3 linked regions of the Styela clava genome follow. The protein of the gene in region 2 purifies or fractionates together with the protein of the main gene of each other region. This does not show direct contact. Links are inferred from orthologs where the notes say so. Each region holds a gene or a part of one and is shown on either strand. Other genes may lie near its edges.

The links.
Region 1: the proteins of E3 ubiquitin-protein ligase arih1-like (region 2) and cullin-2-like purify together in Homo sapiens (affinity purification with western blotting; 3 studies listed by BioGRID and IntAct, with this or other methods). This does not show direct contact. The link is inferred for Styela clava from reciprocal best matches to the Homo sapiens genes ARIH1 and CUL2.
Region 3: the proteins of E3 ubiquitin-protein ligase arih1-like (region 2) and S-phase kinase-associated protein 1 purify together in Homo sapiens (affinity purification with mass spectrometry; 4 studies listed by BioGRID and IntAct, with this or other methods). This does not show direct contact. The link is inferred for Styela clava from reciprocal best matches to the Homo sapiens genes ARIH1 and SKP1.

What each region holds. Positions count from the first base shown.
Region 1 is NC_135263.1:12,285,950-12,294,153, reverse strand, and holds the start of cullin-2-like, read right to left. Parts: upstream 3,070-8,204; 5' UTR 2,923-3,069; coding exon 2,804-2,922; intron 2,173-2,803; coding exon 2,070-2,172; intron 1,914-2,069; coding exon 1,873-1,913; intron 1,586-1,872; coding exon 1,432-1,585; intron 988-1,431; coding exon 808-987; intron 357-807; coding exon 246-356; intron 1-245.
Region 2 is NC_135257.1:11,826,372-11,833,625, reverse strand, and holds E3 ubiquitin-protein ligase arih1-like, read right to left. Parts: upstream 3,127-7,254; 5' UTR 3,043-3,126; coding exon 1,498-3,042; 3' UTR 844-1,497; downstream 1-843. UniProt on the Homo sapiens protein: E3 ubiquitin-protein ligase, which catalyzes ubiquitination of target proteins together with ubiquitin-conjugating enzyme E2 UBE2L3.
Region 3 is NC_135260.1:7,445,779-7,453,200, forward strand, and holds the start of S-phase kinase-associated protein 1, read right to left. Parts: upstream 3,506-7,422; 5' UTR 3,454-3,505; coding exon 3,283-3,453; intron 1,555-3,282; coding exon 1,411-1,554; intron 1-1,410. UniProt on the Homo sapiens protein: Essential component of the SCF (SKP1-CUL1-F-box protein) ubiquitin ligase complex, which mediates the ubiquitination of proteins involved in cell cycle progression, signal transduction and transcription.

The sequences.
Region 1 (8,204 bases), on a different chromosome or scaffold from region 2:
ATTGGCTAAATGGAAAGATTTATGTCCTCAATAAACATTAGATGCTTACATACCAGTGACTGTTTGTAGCGCCTTGCAGAGAGTAAAGGTATGAAATAAAAATCATTTATTGGAAATCAAGTATACCATCTTGATACTTAAAATGAAATAACAATCAATCTACAAGTGAAGAGGCAGCATATATATTCGATCCCATTCTGCATATAAAAAATAAATATTTAGATATGCCACAAAAATTCACTCACTTTTTCCATATACAGTGAACAATCCTCGCTTTCAATGAATTCACTTGCTTTCATTTTATAATATTCGACAGATCTTGCCAAATACTTCTCTTCAAAACATTCTTCATAAAGCTGAAGAAAAATAAAATAAAATGGTCATCTTCGTGGTTGCTAAAAAAGTTTGCTATTGATTCATGCAAACTTTTTTTGTTTCAATTAACTGGCGAAGTCCCATCTGACATCGTAAGCTGATAATTATTTTCCAGTTGCAGCATGAAAATAAACTACCTCGATAAATATTTGATGATAAAACCGGCTGTAATGCATAATTATAGAAAACATCCTATACTTGAAAGTTGAGTTCAATGGTAGTCACACTTTCGTTTATTATATAATTTAGGTTCTTTTGCTTCAAAGACAAAATAACAAATTCTGTTGTCAATGGCAATGCATCATATTTATTTACTTCTCTTTATGAAACTCTGAACATCAAATATTCAAATTAGAATGACTTATTAATTGTTTGACGCATGACTCATCGATTGGGCCTCTTCCACTAAAGTTTTGCAATATTATTTCTTACCTTCAAAGGTTGCTTCCTCCGATAATGTTTGACCAAGACAAACGACTGAATAACTCCATTTATTACGGCTTTGTCCACAGTGTGTTTCGCCCGATCTTCATCAATAAGATTTAAAAGAAGTTCAACGAGTTTGTCTGATACTTTTTCTATCATAACCGTGTGCCATATATCCAAAGCAAGCTAAGGTAAGCAAATAGAAGCATTTTAGTAATTTGGTGCTTTGGACTGGACTTGGCGACAGTCGCAAACTTAAAAAAAGTGACATCTTGTATAAAAACATGTTAGTATCGAAGTGGTAAAACATGAAATTATATACATCATATCTTCTTCTAAAAAGTACTCCACTAATTTATTTCTACAGGTATCATTTAAAGTTAGTATAAAATCAATTATTTCTATGTCTAACAAACAAACATACCATATTTAACAATGCACATATTTATGTACATTTCCGCATCAAATACTGTGAAACATGGTATTTGAAATTTGAATGTATTCAGAACAACACAACTAAGACTATTTTTATACAATCAATACACCAGATATATTTTGAAAATGACTGTTTTTACGTACTACCGAATATACAGAAAAAACTGTGATTTGTAATTGAAAATGTATGTTCACCTCTCCAACCTCCAGCATTGGATCTTTCACATCGAATGAAAATTCATAATCGAGATCAGCCGCAGTTTGTTTATATTTTTTAACATGTTGTTGATTTAAATATCTGAATAACTGATCAAGATATTGAGCTCCTCTGCTATATTCCACCCAATATCTATAACAGAAAAATGTACAAATTAACGAATTAACTTTAAGATAAAATCTTGGCGCTCCAGAAGTGTGTATACCAATATGGAGGTAACTAATTTTGTTCGCCTACTTTAAATCAAGTTGTGTGATGGGACTGAAACCTATGGGGAAAGTATATTCACTTGGCTAACACAGACAGTCCCCGAACTCTTAATAGAACTGAAAAAAGATAAATCGGAAATAAACTATGGCCTAACCCTAACCTGGTACACACACTACTAATACTACTACACATACTAATAAATTTCTCACTTGTAATATTGTCCCAAGAGATTTTCAGATGCGTTCATTTTCTGAATAGCAAAAATAGGTATTTAGAATACATGTGATATATATAAGACGTACACTGATAAAAAACAAACATTTCTTTTTATCCATGACCCAGACTCTGGGTTGGTAAAATTTTAATTAGTTTATAATATCTTTCTAAGCATTACCATATTTCATACCTCATATAGTTGTGAAACATGATGCTCCAAAAATTCTTTAATTCCAGAATAAAGTTCATTTGTCAATGGCTCAGGACGAGCGATGCACAATGCATAGACATCCCTTATACAGTAAATGCAAAATAATTAAGGAAGATAACTTAATTTAAAGATGTAGCTTACCACATTAAAACTCTATGACTCGGAACAACCCTGAAAAGGGCCCAAGCGATTGCACTATTATTATTTTAAAAAGTAATACAGGCAAGCAGAATCAAATCGGATGACGGACAATAAAATCCCATAATAAGATAGAGTTAAAATATATATTATTACCGGTATGTTACAATTTAAAACAAATGAAGAAACTTATTTTTGATTCAATTAGTTATAAATAGCAGGGCCGGGGAGTCACTGTAGCTTCGGCTCCAGAGCTTCATTTTTCTATGCTGGCTCCGGCTCCAGCTACATAGCGATTGAGGTTTTGTATGTCTGACCATTACAATGTAACAACACAAATTTTCGCAAAAAATGGGACTAAAACTGGGGCGTCAAGGTTTCAAATTACAAAATTAAACTTTAAAATACATAAATCCAACTTAAAACTTTTGAATTAATATTAGAAAATGAAATTTAGAAATAATATATAAGTTGGAAATAGATCCCCAGCTCTTGATTAATAACAGGAATACAGGATTATTTATTATCTGAATATTAGATAAATACAATACATTTAAATATTTGATAAAGGATACATAAACATTTCATTCCATGTTGATCGTTGAACAGGATTCGAAGTAACGACATTGTTCATTGTTGCTGACAATTTCAGCCATGTTGAATTGAAATCAACAGATCTTGGCTTCAAAGACATAGTTCAGCATTCAAGCAGAGGGTATAGCAGTGTAGATTTTGTAGATGCCGTAAACACTACTTAAGGCAGTAAGGAGTTCTGGGAGAATAGTTTATACAGATGTATATTACCGGTAAATAAAATTACATACAGGTGCAAGGTGTGGACAGTTGCCCAGCTATCAGCAACATACTGACATACGGCACTGCTGTACGGTACTGCAGTACTGACATACCTTGGCAGTGTACTTATAATTTGAATGTTATAACAGTACCGTATAACTAATGCTAGCCTATATTCAGATATTTCAACCTTGTTGTATATTTGTATTGTAGATTTTGAAGTTGTACTATGTGTGATACCCAGAGAAAAGAGGTATTATTTATTTATTATGATCAGCACAACAGACAAGACAATACAGATAAAAACAAATAAATAAAAACTGATTATAGAATCACTGAATCAGGAGACCAGTGGTACGGTACGGTATCAGTACAGAATTTAAGTTCGAAGGTTTTGCCAAAATACAGAAATAAAGTGGTATGCTAGTCTGCATGTTTACTTAGGATAGGATTTACATATTTCAGTATTTATCCCGGGGGAGAGGAAAGCCGATAAGACGGCTTATCCAGATGGCGAACCACGGCCTCTCGTCCGGTTACCATTCCAAGTCGGGTATGGGATTAGTTATATTGTTTGTTTTCGGAAGCATGGACTTGGTGGTGGAGGAAGCCGTACCGTAACCGACCAGCGGTTACGTGAACCACCCAACGACGGCGAGGAGTCCAGCAATCCTCTCGCACATAACCATCCCTGCATGGGATTCGAACCTGCGAACCCACGCAGAGTAATTAGAGGTGCGGTGGCGAGCGTACCGGTATTCCTAACGCTTAGCCCGTTGAGCCACACCGCCGCGCCGAACACTGTAACATAAAACACACACAGATATATTAATGTGAGAAAAATGGAGACAGTTCAGATGAATTAGATCTAGATCTACATCCGCAGACTACTGGACTAGCCTAAATACCGGTACCGGTAGTAAATAAATACAGAAATAGCAAATGTTTAAATAAAATTACGGACACCCTGGTAATAATTTTCACACCGGCTGTCAAATTGGATGACGATTTTATAAATAAGAGTCAACAGTGAAAAAAGATATTTAGTAAAACCACGGAAAAAGAACCACAGATTTAACAATAGGCTACATACATGTCCCCACATCACTTCAAAGGTGTATTAGAAAGCCCCTTCTCGTCATTGGTGAAACCCAAACCTTACTCTGCAAGAATCCTATTGGTCCCTTGCGCCACTACGCCCTCTATACACCGTCGTTTGCCCGTGCCTCATGAACGGGCTACAGGTGAAACCATGTCAACAAGAGTGTAAGCATATATTTACGGTGTAAGTAACGTAATCAAAAAAACACAATACGCCGGAATACCTAAACTTTGTTTTTCCACGACAGGGGACTTGTTTAATTTAATTCTTGTTTAATGGGCACAAAGATTCTATTTGTCGTATAAGTTGCGCTGGTGAAAAAAGAAAATTGACATAGCAAGAAATGCAACTGTGGAGTCCAAAAAATGAAATGACGTCTCAAAAACGTTGATGGATCAAGTTATTTATTCCTCAGACTTCACACTGAAGTCAGATGTGCACAGAAGCATTTACATACGGTAGCATTTATTTACGGACAGAAGTATTTTTATTATAAGAAAACCAGCTTAAGATTAGTCCAAGCTCACTCACTCAGAAATTCTCAGCATTTAAATACGGTAGCATTTATTTACGGACAGAAGCATTTTTATTATAAGAAAACCAGCTTAAGATTAGTCCAAGCTCACTCACTCAGAAATATAGACCGATCACTCAGGAAAGAGAAAACGACCTCGACTTGGCGAAAGTACAATTTGTGGTAATCAAGTTGTTACATTGCTATGGACCTTTCCCAGACCTTTGATCCCCGAAAAATTCTTCCTAAACTTTACAAGTGCAAAATTTTTGGAGCTATTTTAAAAGTGCATTTGCGAGTTGGCGCCTATAAAATGGGGTATGTGTTTCAAACCATCATTATGATTTATCGCATACAAGAATCTGTTTTTCAAAAGTACCGGTAAAGAATTTTAGCCTAGTCTATCACAGCTATGTCTACACTAATTTTGTATTACTGCAATTAAATTAAAACTTCTAGGAAGACTGAATGCTGTTTGAATTATTTGATTTATAGTTAAGTTTCCGAAACACAACAGAAAACTAACGAATGGAGTTCAAAAACGCGAAAACGAGGTAATGTTTACGACCACGCTTGAAAATCTGTCTGAGTGAGAAAAGTGTCTGAGCGGATGCGAAAAGGGAGTATTGTTACGTCACTTTTCGCATCGTGCTGATTGGCCAATGTCACGAAGTAAGTAAGGAAGTCGATGGTCGAGGAAATGTCCACTGTTACTTCATAATGGTGTGTACCGTTGCGAGCTGTTTCGCGTCACGTGGAAATGCCCGTAAGTACAAATGCTTTTGGTTGCGTATCCAATTTGTATGTGAATGCTAAAATCTGTCGATCTGAATGTGATGGGTGCAATTGTCTATTATTGTCTAATGCACGCGGAATCAAAAGTATAGATGTGAATTTTCTTGGATGCATGGCATGTATTATATATCTGTAACTGACATGCCCACTTAAACGTTTATGTGTTTATTACTACTTTATACTCATTAGTATGTTTATCCCACGGCACAAATGGGAATGCATAGGGTTGTAAATGTTCGCGGGTGCAATTATCCATGGGTGAAAATGTCTGTGGTATCAAAAATCTATGGGTGGAAATATTTGTAGGTGCTATAGCCTCAATAATATATTTCAGGCTAATTTGTTGTTGGTTGGATGTTTCCTCTGTCACCAGACGTCGACGAATATCAACTGTAGCGCCTCGACTGTTCAGTCTCCCCAAGTCTTTGTTTGACACACTTTAACGAGGCAATGTCTTTATTATTAGCATTTAATCGTACAACGATACGGTCGCAAAACAAATGAATGATCCAGTCGGGTCCGAAAGGATAAAAAATCAGTAATATTGAGTAACGTATATGCTGATTACCAATAGATGAAAATGTACTAATCAAGTATGGAACATAGGTAAATTATATTAAAACTGGTTTGTCATTAAGAAATGTCTTGGGGCTATTCAAATCAATTATGACCAGTACAAAACACGTTGTGGTGGTTTATATTTTTAAGAAAACTAAATTGACTAGTTTTACGACGATTCATATTATTGATTTGAAAAATAACAGTAAAAGGTTACTAAAATAACAAGATTATCCCCATAGTGCAAATGTCCTTAGGTGTAAAAGTACGTGGGTGCAAATGTGACGGGTATAAATGTCTGTGAGTGTAAATTCCTCCGGTACAAATGTAAGTGGGTGCAAATATATTGCAAAAATAAAGTAGCGGCCATTGATAGCCCTTCTAGAACTTATATCTGTACTAAAATACTCATAGTTAACGTGGCATAGGACTGTATCAGAGGACCTTCACTGACCGGGCCTAGAACCATTAACTATAGCCTGGAGTTTTTTTGGTATTTATCTGAATAATAGAAAATCTGATGAAACAATTTGAATACCGAGCCACAGCACCTGGACACGGAAATAGCTAACTCAATGGACCTTTTCCCGAACTTTGAACCGCTGGAAATTCTTCCTATGGACCTTTCCCCGAACATCGACTTCCTTGTTTTTTTCGTGGCATCGGCCAATCAGCAAGATGCAAAAAGTGACGTAACAATACTACCTTTTCGCATCCGCTCAGACACTTTTCTCACTGAGACAGATTTTCAATCGTGGTCTTAAACATTACCTCGTTTTCGCGTTTTTGAACTCTATTCGTAAGTTTTTAGTTGTGTTTCGGGAACTTAAATATAAATCAGATAATTTAATGATCACTCTGTCTTCCTAGGAGTTTTAATTTAATTGCAGTAATAAAAAGTTAGTGTAGAAATAGCTGTGATAGACTAGGCTAAAAATTCCCCACCGGTACTTTTAAAAAACAGATTGTTGTATGCGATGAATCATTATGATGGTTTGAAACACATACCCCATTTTACAGGCGCCAACTCGTAAAGCACTCTTAAAAAAAAACTGAAAATTTTGCAATGGTAAAGTATAGGAAGAATTTTTCGGCGGTCAAAGGTCGGGGAAAGGTCCATACAAAACCATTGCAACATTTTTGGTGTTTATTTTAAGAGAGGTTTCGCGATTTAGTGCCTGTAAAATGGGGTATTTGTTTCAAACCATTATTCTGATTCATAGCATTCAGCAATCTGTTATTTGAAAGTACCGGTAAATAAGTTTTGCCTAGTCCAGTGGTTGTTAAACTGGGGGGGTGCGAGATGCTCACTTGGGGGGCGAGAGGTCATGAGATGGAATCGTAAATTTACATGTAACGGTCTCCGCGTTCGGTAAAAATACCGGCTTTTTCGTGGTATGATAAATTTTTCTGTCTCGTAATAACTACAAGAATTCAAAATGTCTCTCTATTTTAATTCATTTGTGTTCAGGGTAACTCGCGGTTGCGGCGACTCATGTCAAAATAAACTCATTACCGATCTAAAATATCACGCCAATCCGCGGACATATTAAAGTGTGATCAACTGCCCGATTATTACTTATCGATCTTAAGATCGGTAAGTATATTGATAGGTATTTGTATGTCTGTGTGTGGGTGTGTGTGTGTCTGTTAGATGAACGCGATATCTCACGAACGCGTGGTTGAATCTGCTCCAAATTTTGCATGTGCATGCACCTTACCTCGGACCAGACGCCTATCGATTTTGGGTTAATTATGTCGTATAATTAGCGAGTTATCAACTAATTACCGATCTAAGATCGATAAGTCTTCGGTCTCCGACCGATATTCTCGTATTTAGTTTTGATATATATTGCACTCATGCGAATTCGTCGTCTCCATTAGAAAGATCCAGTATAATATCCCAGAAAGTATACTTAATTTATTACAATTAAAATACATATTCATCGACTCGGAATCCCCGCGGTACGAATCCTGAGTCAGTCCTCGAGATTACGCCAGTCGTTATAAGTGCCGACTTTGTCAACGGATATGTAATGGTTTTCGTGTTGAATAAAATATGCAATCCATGGCCGATATACTCATTTAAATGGTCGCTTTATTGGACACGAAGTGGACATAACGATCGTTTCAATATTATGTTGTTGTTGTTGTTCTTTGACACGTTTTTAAAAAGTCGCTTTTCTCTTCGAATACTGGACCAATTGCTTTG
Region 2 (7,254 bases):
AAGTTGTCATAGCATGATATTTCTTAATCCAAAATCAGGGTATATTATTTCATTTCCCAAGTTATTTGTGTATTAGATGTCAGAGCAATGATATATAATAAACTGTTGATGATTAGTTAATGATATCATTAACCCAAGATAATACCAAGTCTTTTATCAAATATGGCAATAGCTTGAATGAAACATCAGTATAAATCATAGTGCGATAAGTTATAATAATAACAAGAATACAGAATGAGATTAACAGTCAATCTTCTTCAAATAAATACCAACAAATATCCAACAAGAGGGTGATTTCATTCAATTACAGTTATAAAAAAACAGCTCAAGTAACGATCACAAAACAGATCAAGTTAGTCTCTATAGTAGGGATGGCGAACAACTGGCCCATGGGTCACAAATTGACCCGCAATATTTTTCAGCAACCCGTCAAAATTCAGTGTTGCAAAGAAGGTACTAACAGTTATATGATAAAAATTTTGTAATAATTAATTTCATCCTGAATTATAAATTATTATAGTAGTTCCGGTATATTAGTATGCTGCAGGCAATAATGCTGTTATGACATCATAACAATACGATTAACCGAAACTCCCACAGGGTTGAATCTATTCGTGGCAAGTCGTTCTGTTTAAGACAGTGGTATTCTATCGTAGGTCCATTAACGGGGCCAAAAGAAGATTTTCAGGGTATCCATTATCGTATTCCTACAAATTTACAAACTAAGCTTGGAAAGCAGTAGCGTAACCTTCTGGTAATATTATAATTATAGTTTAAAACAATGTAAATGCATGGCTGACATTCTTTTTATTTGTAAAAAAAAATAATGTATGACCCAATCAACAAAGTAGGTTCACCATCCCTGGTCTATAATATATTGTGTATAGGAACTGAGAATTTGCCAGCCATCGCTTGTTTTAAATGGAGTTAAAAGCTGAACAACAAACAGAATATCCACCATATTCAACCTTTTTGAGGCAGATTAGATAGTTCTAAAACATGTAACACGTTGAAATTGAAATAAATAGTATCAGAAAACTATAGATTCTAGACTAATGATTTATTTAAATACGATCATCCTCACAGCCCATCGCATTGTTGGCCGCTACCAAACTGTAGGTAGACCGTATGAGAAGCATTTATAAAAAGAAGTAAGGTAGATATTATGTTTGTGAATGAGCATTTTATACGTTGTAGCTTAAAAAATTTGCTTGCTTCAAGATTATTTTATAATTGTTCACGTTTTAACAATTTGCCAAAAATCTCATATAGCCATCCATATAGGCAGATACAAACTGATTTTTATTCGCATATTACAATAAACTGTCATGATGTGCATATTAATGAATTTGTATGCTTTGGGGATTTTATGGGCTGTCTTATATAGCAATATTTTTGAGTCACCCAGTTAGGTATGACACATTTCTAGTTATGTGAAAAAGGCAAAAACAATGTGCATATAAAGTATTCATCAGCATAATATGATAACAAAACAGTTTATACTTTGTCATTAAAATCCCACAGATCACTTTCATATCCTTCATAAATATGGGAGAGGAGCAGCTTCCGTCTATTAGCACAGTATCTGTATTTGTCTTGTACTTTTTGCTTAATGTCCTGCACAGCATCAGTGGTTATGTCTCGTTCTAGATATTCACTGAGAACTTCTGTTGCCTTCTCCAAATCTGCTTGGTTGTCTTCAAATATAATGGATTGGTTATTTTTGTTGAGAAAAAAAGCAAAAACATAAGTGTACATTAGCATTTGACGACACTGGCAGAGCACATCAACAGCATGCTTTAGAAACTGCACTTCAATCCAGGACATTCCATGCTTTTGCATTTCTTCCATTTTGACTTTCACTTGCGCATAAAGCTTGTGTTCAAAACGCAAACTCTGCAGATGGTTCATATATCTGTTGCAATAAAACAAGTACCGTTGTAGAGCCTGACGTGATTTCTCTTGACAATCTTGAGCCTTTTTAGCATCTTCTTCCTTGAATCTATTACAATTGTACCAAGAAGAACCATGCGGCTCCCATGGTCCCAGACAGACCCAACAGAACTCATGTTTGCAGCTGACACTTCGACACACCATATGATTACAACCACCATCTTTTTCAATGGTTGCAAAACATGCTGGGCATTCTTTTGTGTTGGCAGCTATCCAATTGTATGTTTCACTGTCATCATCACATTTTTTGATCCATCTTTTCAAGTACATACATAGTACCGGATCGTGCCATGACTCTCCACATTTAAAACAAAATTCTTTACCGCATTGACATTTTACTGGCCTTGCATCAGAAAATTTAACTCGAACAACATTGAGACAATTTGGAGCTGGGCACCACCTCAGCAAGGAATTGCATTCAACAAATGTGTTAGATATCAAATGGAGATATTTCAATCTAACTTTCTTGCTGCTGATTAAGTTCATAACAATTTCATCATTGACAACAATGTCACAACCATATGAAGGACAACTTATAGTCTGTGACATTCCTTGATCCATAATCTTTGTGCGAAGATACTCTGTCCAGCAGCCTTTACAGAACTTATGATGACATGCTAAACCAGTCATAAAATCATTAGAAAAAGGTAAACAGCAAATTTCACAAGTCATATCGCCATTTGAACCGGACTGACTAGAAGCATTTCGATGGTGTGAGGAGAACGGATTAACGACATGAGCATCGTCAAAAAATTTCTGATCATTTCCTTCACATCCATAATACTTCTCAAAAAGTCTTTCTTTGTCCCACTTAAAATGTGCGAGTAATATTCTAAGTACAGTTTTATCCATAGGTATAATCTCAGCCACTTCGTGTACAGTGACATTCATTAAATCCACGACACCATCCGGGGTAAGACTGTCATATGCAAATCCATCATTAATGTTCCCATCAGTGGAAAATGGAATTAATCCATCAGAGTTTTTATTGCGGTGGTCATCTTCTACTCCCTCATCATATTGATACTCATCCCAATCAGAATCTTCATCCTCTACTTCATCTTCACTATCATATTCAAGATCATCCATGGTTGATAGATAGTAAAATAGTGATTGTATTTTATTGATTTATGTGTTCCCTGTATTAGTAGAAATCGATCATATTGAGTGTATGAGACTGAAGAATCTGGGATTATTAAGGTTACAGGGCTGGGGAGCCAAGGTCGTAACTTTTGTTGGGAGTTGGATCCAAGCTTACCATATTAGATAGAGCGGAAGTTTTTAGCAACACAAGCCCTAACTATCTATTAATTTTTTCATATGTATCATTTTCTAATGCTTCATATAACTATTAAAATCTACACCCATTTGAAAGTTTCCTAGTGAAATATATTTATATTTAAATTTTGAAACCACCATATTATAGTTTTAAGTCCCGCCTCCATTAAACTACATTTGGGTTTATGTTTGGTAGTGGTCATACCAAAAAACTTTATTGGCTATAGAGCCGGAGTCGAGCTCAGAAGTAAAGAAATAACGGATGTTGGAGCTACTGTCAGACTGTGGTTTCAAACCAGCTCCCCAGCCCTGGAGAATACAAACAAACAAAGTAATACAAAAACGAGAATATCGGCAGAGACCGAAGATTTATCGATCGAAAGTTAGGGGATCCCCAAAACAGCGCTCTTACTCCATAGTGACACCTTGTGTCCCATCACTAATTAATTAATAACTCGCTAATTATACGACATAATTCATCCAAAATCAATAGGCTTCTGGTCCGACATATGATGAATGCACATGCAAAATCTGTAGCAGATTCAATCTCACTTTCGTGAGATATCGTGTGCATCTAACATACAGACAAATACCTATCAACATACTTACCGATTAAAACCGATAAGTAATAATGTAAATTACCTCTTACTGTTTAGTGACTTTGTAGAACTATAAAATAGTTCATGCCTGGGCTAAAAATAGGCCAATGAAGCGATGAAAACACATCCTTATCTTGTCTAGTGCCTAATTCATTTATTACACCCTTGGCTGCTGAGTCTGTGGGTGGATGATGAGCACACGTCCATAGATCTTTATGGTTAGAAATTGTGCTAAAATTAGGTCGAGCTTAACTTTCCTAGGCTATATTTTTTATTTGGGTCTTATGTCTTATTATTATGGGTCTTAGCCTTATCATTTAGCATGATGAGCACACGTCCATGGATCTTCATGGTTAGAAATTTTGCTAAAATTAGGTTGTTCTCAATCTTATAAGAATTCGGGTCTTATGTCTAATTTAGTAATGAAAAAATTAAACTGATAAAACAAAATACTTTTTGTGACTCCCTGACTCCGTTTTATTAGTCCCAGTCTTGTATTTCTGTATTTTAGCTTTGAAGTGATTAATGATTCTGATGATATAACACAAAAAGATACCTCGGTACACTGCAGCTGTTCAACGTTTTAACCTCATTTTAGGCCATGTACAGATGTCAGGGTCTTGTGTAGTTTTGTACCCCAATAACTTCTAGTGGGCATGGCAAAACAATTTTTTCATACATTATTCCTAACCCCCACCTGACTACGACATCCAAAATTTATGTCACTACAACGACATAGTGACATAATAAAGCCCGCCAAAATATACGGATGGTCGTCCAAAACGCGCACACGATCACCCGGAATCAATCAAATTATTTCTCTCGTTTTCTCGTCGTAACGGTCCCCATACTGCTGTACTGCTATATGCAGATATGACTGTATGAGAGCGATCGAAGTGTTAGCGAGTTCGTTATCGTCAGCGGAGATGCCATTTCGGGCGATTATAGCTTTTATTTGGCAAGCTCTATGACGTAATTGTGACGTCGTACTGAGGTAATATATGGATGACGTAGTCAGGTGGGGGTTAAGAATACTATATGCAAAAATGAAGTAGGCCTACTAGAAGTAGACCTTACTTATTACGGTACTGTATTATGGCGTTTAGTGAACATGCGCCGAAATTTTTATGTGTTTTGGGCAGAATATCAAAAATAACTAACTGATTGTTTAAAGCATTTTAACGTTAATGTCTGAAAGCGTCTCAAGTATACCGGTATGCATATGAAACAAATACAGAAATACCGGTAGGTACCGGTACGTACGTTAAGTTAACTATTTCCATGAAAATCCTCTTCCTCCACTGTCTAATTCGTTTTGTACCGTAACACTTACCGTAAACTCAAACTCATAACTCTCGTCAAACCACTAAAATCGCCATTCTTCCATTTATCGATTTATGAAACAGAAATAAAATTAAGTCTACTCCTGAACTTATTTCTGACCCGATTCTGCGATTGGAACAAAGACCTCAATGGAGCAAGTGTCAATCAAATCTGTTGCTACGTCACATCAATGACATTAAACAACATGATAGGCAACTCTGACGTCACTCCATAAGACTACAGGCAAAACATTGTATTTCATGATACGCTCCAATGCACATATTTCTCGTCGCCTTTCGCGTCCGTTTTCCGCTCGCTTTTGCTACTCGGCGTCTTTTTTACGTGTAGTACCTGCCTTTTTGCGCCTGTAACGAAACAAAATAATCTCTATATCTAAGAAGTTTTGCTTACTTGGAAAGCTGGAATAACAGGCAAGCTGTAAAGAGCAATTCTGGACATCATAGACGTTTTTTTTTTATCAGAGAAGATTACAAACGCGATAGCGGAAAGATTTGTGTGGAACATTTTGCAGATAATGACAAAGTTCAAAGTTAGTAATTTTAATGTTTGCGCTTAATCATTGAAATTTCATTTAAAGAGGGTGTCATACAAAACTGTGCTGCGATACAATTCCATAACACAAAGTTTGCACCTATCGAACTTGCTTTTGTATGTGAATTTATTAGACATATTACATATTCAGTTAATCGTAGGTAACATTGCTGGTACATAATGCATCGTAGATAGGTTTGTTTAAATTTAGGAATTTAGCTCATAGCCCACTAATTAATATTATCTTCTATGCAGGAGGTTGCAGGGCTGAATTCAACTTGCAGCCTTACCGATCACCTGACGATGCTCATTTAGTTTGGCTCGAGCAAGTCTTCTTGAAATGCTTGTGTGAATGGAAACTACCTATATTTTTTGCCTTCCTCCGATTTTAGACAAATTTATTCTGAGGGATTTCGCATATAATTCTCACTGATTGTTGGCTGTTTATAATTCCTATTGATTGTGAATTCTGATTATAACAATGAGTTGAAAATTTTTTTACCTAATTTACTGGCACCTTTTTCTTGTCAATACTCCAAGCTGAGGTAATAAACATGACAATACATTTATGTCATCTGGAAGCAAAATATGCACACAAATTAATAGTTTGGCACATTGAGATAATACATCATGACAGAAAATACAAGTTAAAGATATGTATGACCATCACATGGTAATTAAAATTAAAAAAAAATAATAGGGGCTGTGGAGTATGGAAAGTTCAAGACAAAGAAAAGAACAAATGTTCATAGAACATAGCTCATATATTGTGATGCAACTAAACAGTTGGATTAAGTTTTATTATTTCCTTCAATTTCAAATGCAATTACATATTAATATTTGCATTCCACTATTATTGCAACATTTGCAAGTTACAGTATTTATTATAAAAAATCGTAAAATTCTATGTACAACCATCAAAATCATTTTTGAACAAGCTTTGAATAAGGAAAGAATAATACATACACTAAAAATAACCTAATCTAAATATATGAACCTAAAATTAACAAAAATACTACAGTATAAACTCAATGTTTTAATAATTACATTCGTCCTGGCGTTTGGCATCTTTTTTGTGTCACCAGCATACTAAGGCCAGTCTGAAATGATTTTTTCGACAAGACATTTCGCACTACCTTGCGTGGCATAGGATTGCTTGAATTATTATTGATATTGATTTTTAGTAACTAAGTCGTTGTATAATTATATTAAGCGTTTTAGCAGGGTTATTGGTGTTTTTTGAAGGTTTTTCACTGTTTTTAAGCGTTTTAGCAGGGTTAATATACAAACACATGGAAATTTTCTGTTCGAAGTTGGTCTTCGAATTTGTCATATTGACTGCTGAGCTTATTGTGTTTTTTGATTGTATTGATGGAAATATGACAAATTAAACAATGTGCTTCAGAATTTTGTGAAGAGCAGAAATGTTACAACTCCCATTTTCTTCGAAAATGCCACCTTCTTCGTGTACTTTGCGTTTAATTTAATTACTCAAGTGTTTTATTCAAGTATTCTTTTGCTAGCTTGATGTGTATTCTTAATTGGGTCA
Region 3 (7,422 bases), on a different chromosome or scaffold from region 2:
TAATTCTTTTTTAATCGGGACTGTAAAGTAGAATCGCCATTTTAATCAAGCCTTTTATTTTTGAATGGGTTCATCATAAAAATCCCTCTGCAGTTGATCGACGCCTCAAACGAAATGAATTTGCATTACAATGACAAAGTCGTCGTTAACTTGGCAACAGGCTCAAAATCCTACTGTGTCTGGAAAAGATCTCTGCGGCCCATGTTCTTTTGCGCGTCTCGTGACCACCTGTGGGGTCGCAACAAGTTCCTATCTTACTGGAATATTATACTGTTTTTGACTGTTTTCAGGTTTGAAAAAGAAGATATGCATTACGTTTTATATGGATGGTCATATTAAGTAGGAAAAGCACGCAGAACAGAAAAAGCACGCATGCCGATTTTGAGGCTTCTTAATTTTGCGAGATTTGATGGAGCGCATTCGCGATGAATCGGAGGCGAAAAGTGTGAATGCTCGGCGCCAAGATGTCGCGTAAGACGGCTTCAAGATGTCGCAATATGACGGCGGAAGAGAATTGCGTAATGAGCCAACGCAGCTTTGTATACGGTAGGCTACAAAGTACAAAAAAAAAACTTTGTATACGGTAAAGCGATTGAGACGGCATAAAAACAACAAAATTTCTCGCGGACCGGCAAAAAAGCTTCGTGGACCGGCACCGGTCCGCGGACCGGCGGTTGGGAACCACTGCTTTAAACAAATATAAATTGTCTCAAGCAAATCTTTAGTAATGACTAATGTTAGTGAATTTATATGCTAAATGTTACTAAATGTTTCATAACAAAGCATCAGGTATTTTAGTAATGTTTTCTCCTGTCGTCCTGTCTGTATTTTATTTATAGACGAGTAAGGTCATATAGAATAACCAAGAACAAGGTTGATACTTGTAATATTTAAACCAATTGAACCTAGGTTATGCTTGTCTTCCAGGTGTCTCTGCATTTTGTTTGTCGGTTTGTTGTTGTTTTGTTTTATGCCAGAGCAACCAAAATGAAATTGATTGATAGATTTGAAAGATTGACTAATGCAATGCAATCCAAAGTTGGTACTCCCAAAGTTTATATAATACACAGATATTTGATGACGAAACATTCAACCATCACCATGTGTAGTTTACCCTAAGCTAATCGTGTTTTCTTTTTTACTTAAATAATGTCTCTGTGCTTGTGTGTGTGTGTGGTGAGTGCCTGTGTGAAATAATTATAATAATTTTAGGTGAGTGAACACGTACCACTTCTTCTTGGCAAAACCTTTCATCTTACATTCTGTAAGTTTTAAGCCTTATCTAAGGTCTTGTTTGCTTTCCTGATTTCATATTCAGTTTTTATCTATTTGTTTTTATCAATAATTTTATTGTTATGCTGATTATGGAGTCGAAATAACTTATACTAACAAATGACAATTAATACGCACCACAATGAGTTCGAAAAGCGTTCCCTGATCAACTTTCAAAAACTCTTGATCCCAAACCGGGATATCATCAGTTCTTTTTTCCTTATTTTCATCATCTTCTGGTGGAGGGGGATCATCTTTGTGCTGTGTGCACCACTGTAATACCTGGATTGCAACATCAAAATAAATTTTTTGTTGAATAAGACTGAATTGACAACACAATGAATCGATGATAACACTTAACAGGAAGAAACAGTGCAGAACAGAAGAAAACTATATAAAAGAGATGGAAAATGTATTTCACATTGCTTTGTTTTGTACACTAGAGATGCATTTTTATTAACTAACTGATTTAACTAACTAACTTTAATCTGAGATAAATACCAATTTTAATTAACAAGAGAATAGATTAGCCACTAAGAGTAACTCAGATTGAGATCTATAAAACTAATTGGTGATTATAATTATTCAAAAACCCATTTCCTACTCATGATACACAACTCAAATAGTATATAATCAACCAGTTACGCCCACATTACTCCAGTACCATCTAGTATAATCAAGAGTTAAAAAATGTTTTCATCATAAAACATGCATAGATAATGACTAGGCCTGGATAGTTACTAAGCCAAAATGTGAGAATGTAAGCCTATTTATGCGGTGCGTCGCTTTATCATGCTAAGAATTAGCAATTCCCACTTGCCACAGCACATCCGATTACCCTGCCTAGGTTCGAATCTGTCGGGGATAGTTACTACAGGGGTGGTGACTCCTCTACGGCCCATAGGCCGGGGCCACAGCCCATCTAATTGGGCCACATGGGCCATGGCCCATCAAGCTATGGGCCGCGGCCCATCAGAAAACTTTCAATTTTTACAAAATTGTCAATATTGGAACCAAACAAAAATCGCGGCATGCCACCAAACCTTTTTCCTGCGATAAGCCTTTTCATAAAAATAAAGCAAAATACCAAGCTACAGAAAAGGATACACCTGAAGTGTGTGTACCAGGTTAGGGTTAGGACAAAATTATGTTCAGATTTTTCATATTCAGACATTATAGTTCTATTATGAGTTCAGGGAGTGGGTAGGATTTAGGTAGAATTTACATATTTATTAGTCTTTATTATTTTATCCCTTTACACAACTTGATGGGCCGCGGCCCATAGCCTGATGGGCCGTGGCCCTGGCCCATGGGTTGTAGAGGAGTCACCACTTCCACTCGATAGTTATGTGCGAGAGGATTGCTGGACTCCTCGCTGCCGCAGGATGGTTCACATAACCACTGGTCAGTATGGCTTTATCCGCCATCAAGTTCATCTAACCAATCCCATACCCGATATGAACTGGTAACCGGTAGGAAGGCTGTGGTTTGCTATCCGATCGAGTCATCGGCTTTTCTTCCCTCGTAATTAATACGTAAATCCTATCCTATATCAATCTACAATAATACAGTAATATCAATTATCGATGATACACCACCAATTATATCGCTAAGCCCATATGACAGTAACAAATTGAATTTAACTTGCTCAAATATAAGTTGGAAGCTAAAGGAGTGCTGAAACCTTCACAGAAAAAATTCGGTACTCCTGAAGTATGCGTACCAAGATGGCGGTGGCCGGAATGTATTATGTGTACCAGGTTAGGGTAAGGCCATAATTTTATTCCAATTTTTCTTATTTTAGTGCTATTACGAGTTCGAGGACTAGCCGAGTGACTCCCGTAGTATTTGTACCTGAAATTATTGCCTAACTCTAACCTGGTACACATACTATATTCCGGTGTCCGCCATCTTCGTACGTATACTTCCGGAGCACCAAAAACAGAAAAATTCATATGAAAAAATATTACAAATTAATTAAAAAACCCAGTTATAATTATGATATACCACCTTTCTCAAGATTGCGGCATTTGTGTTTGGTAATGGAATTGATTCTTCGTCATCACCAGGTTCCATTCCTAGATCTTCCAACATAGTCTTGATGGTCATAGATTGTTTGGCAATATCAATGTCTACATCAAAAACATCTCCATCTGCACTTTGTAATTTGATGGAAGGCATTTTTGCTGATATCACTTATTTATATCACTCGCTTATTTAAATATATTTGCCTGAAATTACAAAATGAAAAGTTCATAACATGTACTAGACTATATTGAAACAGGTACCTAATGTTTCCAGTACGATTTATTAGCTGTCCTCGAATCAATATAAATGCAGAAATGTCTACCAGATAACGACTGTTAAGTTGTCTGATTATTATGCTGCTCAGTTCTGTCCATAGTTGCAGAGTTAAATTTAGGATAGGATTCACATCTTTATCCCGGGGAAGCAGAAAGCCGATAAGACGGCTTAACCCCATGGTGAACCACAACCTCTCGTCCGGATACCGTACCAGTCCATGGGGATTAGATACGGTAGCCAGTTATTTGTTTTCAGATGCATAGACTTAATATCCAGATATCTGTTGACCTCTTTCAGACTATGTCGGATATCTGGATACCGGTATGGGATTAGTTAGCCAGTTACGGTACCGTATTTGTTTTCGGAAGCATGGACTTAATAGTGGAGGTCGCCGTAACCGACCAGCGGTTACGTGAACCACCCTACAGCGGCGAGGATACCAGCAATCTTCTCGCATATACGGTAATCATCCTGGCATGGGATTCGAACCCGTGAACCCTCGCGGAGTAATCAAATACAGATTTCAACTATCGGTACGGTACCGGTACCAGTACCGGTACTGTTTCTACATCACATTCTTATTTGGTATCATTCAAGCAGTTATCGCGTTTACTTCGCACCAGCAAACCAACAGAAAGCGATTTCCAGGCTGTCAAGTGTCAATGTTAGATTAGGTCGTTCTTGCGTACGGTACCGTACCGGTACCGGTTTCGTAAGACGACCCGACCGCGGATGCTCTGTCAACATCGTACCGGTATACTTACAGACTTATATTTAGAATATTCCAACCAAAACAAACACACATTAATACGAGTACGTACAAACAATCTACCGGTAATCATTATGCAGATACATAACGGCCGCCGAGAAAAACGACAAACGCGCCCGCAGTTTCGACGGTTCATAACAACGAAGAACAAACGCTTTTTCGGCAAGTACAGCCTACTGGACGTCGCGTCACGTGACAAGTGTAGCAACACCAGACCAAAGTGACTTTGCACCAAACAACACACCGCAAGTCTGTTGTAAAACTTCACTTTCACTGTCGTAAAGTGCTATGTTACAGGATCGTGAAGGATAGGATTTTACATATTTATCACGGGGGATGGAAAAACCGATAAAAAAGACGGATTAATAATCATATGGCGAACAACTCCTCATGGTGACAAATATTGGGCAAGTTGGAACGTTTTACTTATGGATACAGTTTTGGCTCCCGTAGGCCTACATTTGAACCCACGTACATTTGAACCCACGACAATTGCACCTGCATACTATTGCACCTATTTTACTATTTTACTATTTTTTTTGTTTTGTGGATATTTGAATCCATACTAACCCTAACCCATGGGTAGCACCTGTATATAGATTGAACTCGGGGATATACACATGGGTTCAAATGTACGTGGGTTCAAATGTACGGTCACCTACAGTTTTGATTGATTTGGGTTAGGGTTAGAGTTTAAGTAGATATAATAATCAAATTCAGAATTTCGTTCCAAACTTATGCAACATTTGTTATCATCATATTAACCAAAATCTTTGTTTTGAACATATTACTGTTTCGGAGTTTATTTTTTTCTAGGGAATTCGGTTACTAAGATGGGCTACTAGAGACTATTTGGATTGGAAGTACCAACAGGAAACTCCGAAGGATATCAGATCACCACCCAGTAGATGGCGATTTCAAACTCCGCAGGCTACCTCAGCAGAATGCAATACGAAACAATGAACTGAATTAATATTTTAACTCACCCTTCTAATCTTATTATCATGCTTAATTAGACAAAGACAATAAAAACAGCAAATTAGATTAAAGATAATAAATTACAATTACATCAAATTTGAATCCAGCCATCAATAGAAACAGTTCTCTTTGTCAAAGTAGCATGCTGGGCCCTTTCTTTCTCATATAGGTCATGGCACAAAATCAAATATATTCCTCTCTTCCTTCCCCCATGAAACTACATTACTCTATTGTGATCCTAATACAATTAGGGCAATCCATGACATGGAAACAATGCTTCTTTTTTATAAAATGTTAGCCTTAATTCAATAGTACTTTTATACATTTATTTTCTTCTGGAAAAAATGCAATCATGACAGGCTTTGTTGAAATGCTTTTCTTTAAGTTTATTTTTCCTTTAATTTTTACCACATTCGGCTTCAATTTTATAAATAAAACAAGGATACCTAAGAATTTGACACTCGAACTGAAGTATTTCAACAAAATCTGTATGGTTCACATTTTTGCTGAAATAGATATATTCTATCAAATACTCTACTAGCACCCTTGAGTGACGCATACAATATAAGCATAAGAACCGCAAATTTATCTCTTATACTTCGCCCATTCATACTATGTCTATATGGTCTCACCACTCAAAAGGCGCTGTATTTACGCCTAAATTTTGATTTCATTGTTATGTATATGTTTATTTGGTGCTGTGTTGTCTCCATTTATATATATTGTCTTGTCTTATAACAGGGATGGCGAACCTTTTCCGATGAATAGGTCAAAAATTATATTTTTATCGCGGAACAGAAGAGAGTGGGTCACAGATATTTAATCAATGTTTGTATCTATAAGAAACTTCTGAATCAAATATTGTAAGCTTCTGTTGGTGTTGGTGTGGTTTTAGGATAATGCAGCATTTCTATTATGGACTTTTTATGGCACTCGATTTCATGAAATTAGAGTACGAAAACCCGCATATTAATTACCAAAAAAGGTTTAGGATGATGGGGAAAATTTATTTACGGTACCAAATAGTTTAGACTCTTAGAGGGAATTCCACTCTGATAGTGTTATATTTTTCGATCTGCTTCCAACCACATTAAAGCACTTTTACACTGCCCCATTGGTATTTCGGATTCTAGGTTTTTATTTCAAGTCTGGAAGATTTTGTTTTCTCAGCGGCATTGTAGATGAGAAACTAGTGAAATGCAAAGTAGCATCTAGTTCTCGTATAACCCCTAAAAAAGCATGCAGGTGCACTTCCGAAAGAGACAAGGCGTTGCGAAAAATGAACAGATCGCTTGCATTGTTATATCATAAACGATGTCAGAGCCAATAGCTGAATAACGGTACACAGCGGTGCAGACATGCGTCAAAGATTAGGGGTTTTGAAAATTATCATACCGGCCCGAAAATATAAATTCGAATATGAGCGATCGCAGCCTTGACTGCCCAACTGACGGTACATTATAGTTTAGTTTATAGTTTTATATAGTTAATAATTTAAGGCCGGTTTTATCAATTTTTTAGCACTGATATGTTAGCATTTTTTTATTTCATTCGTGCCTTGGTGGGTCACGAATAAAACGACGTGGGTCACTTTGTGACCCGCGGGTCAGTGGTTCGCCATCCCTGTCTTATAAGCTCCCCTGTATAAAGAGTTTTGTATACACCACCCGTACCACTTTCACCACACCAAATGATCCTTTGCCCCACATTGCACAACTGTCTATATAAGGGACCATATTATACATATTTAATATGTTTTTTGTTTTATATTTGTCAAAAAGGGTGCATGCCGCACATTTGTGTTTTAGGCCGGTACGGTCTTGTGCATGCATCCCGTCTTAAATAATAATAATCGTTCATTTATTTGTTATCAATATTACGAGACGAATAAACATACATACATACATAATTCCGCATGATCAGTTAAAATCTGGTAAATGAATTTGCGAATATACCGTTAATACTGATTACTTACTCCGTTCCGACGGTCGTCGGGTGCGGACGTGTCTGCTGAAAAGACTAGAGAATTCTACGCGCTGTATGTTTCGGTATTTGTATCGCGTCATATCAACAAGAGCAAAGCCCATCCATCGGAATTA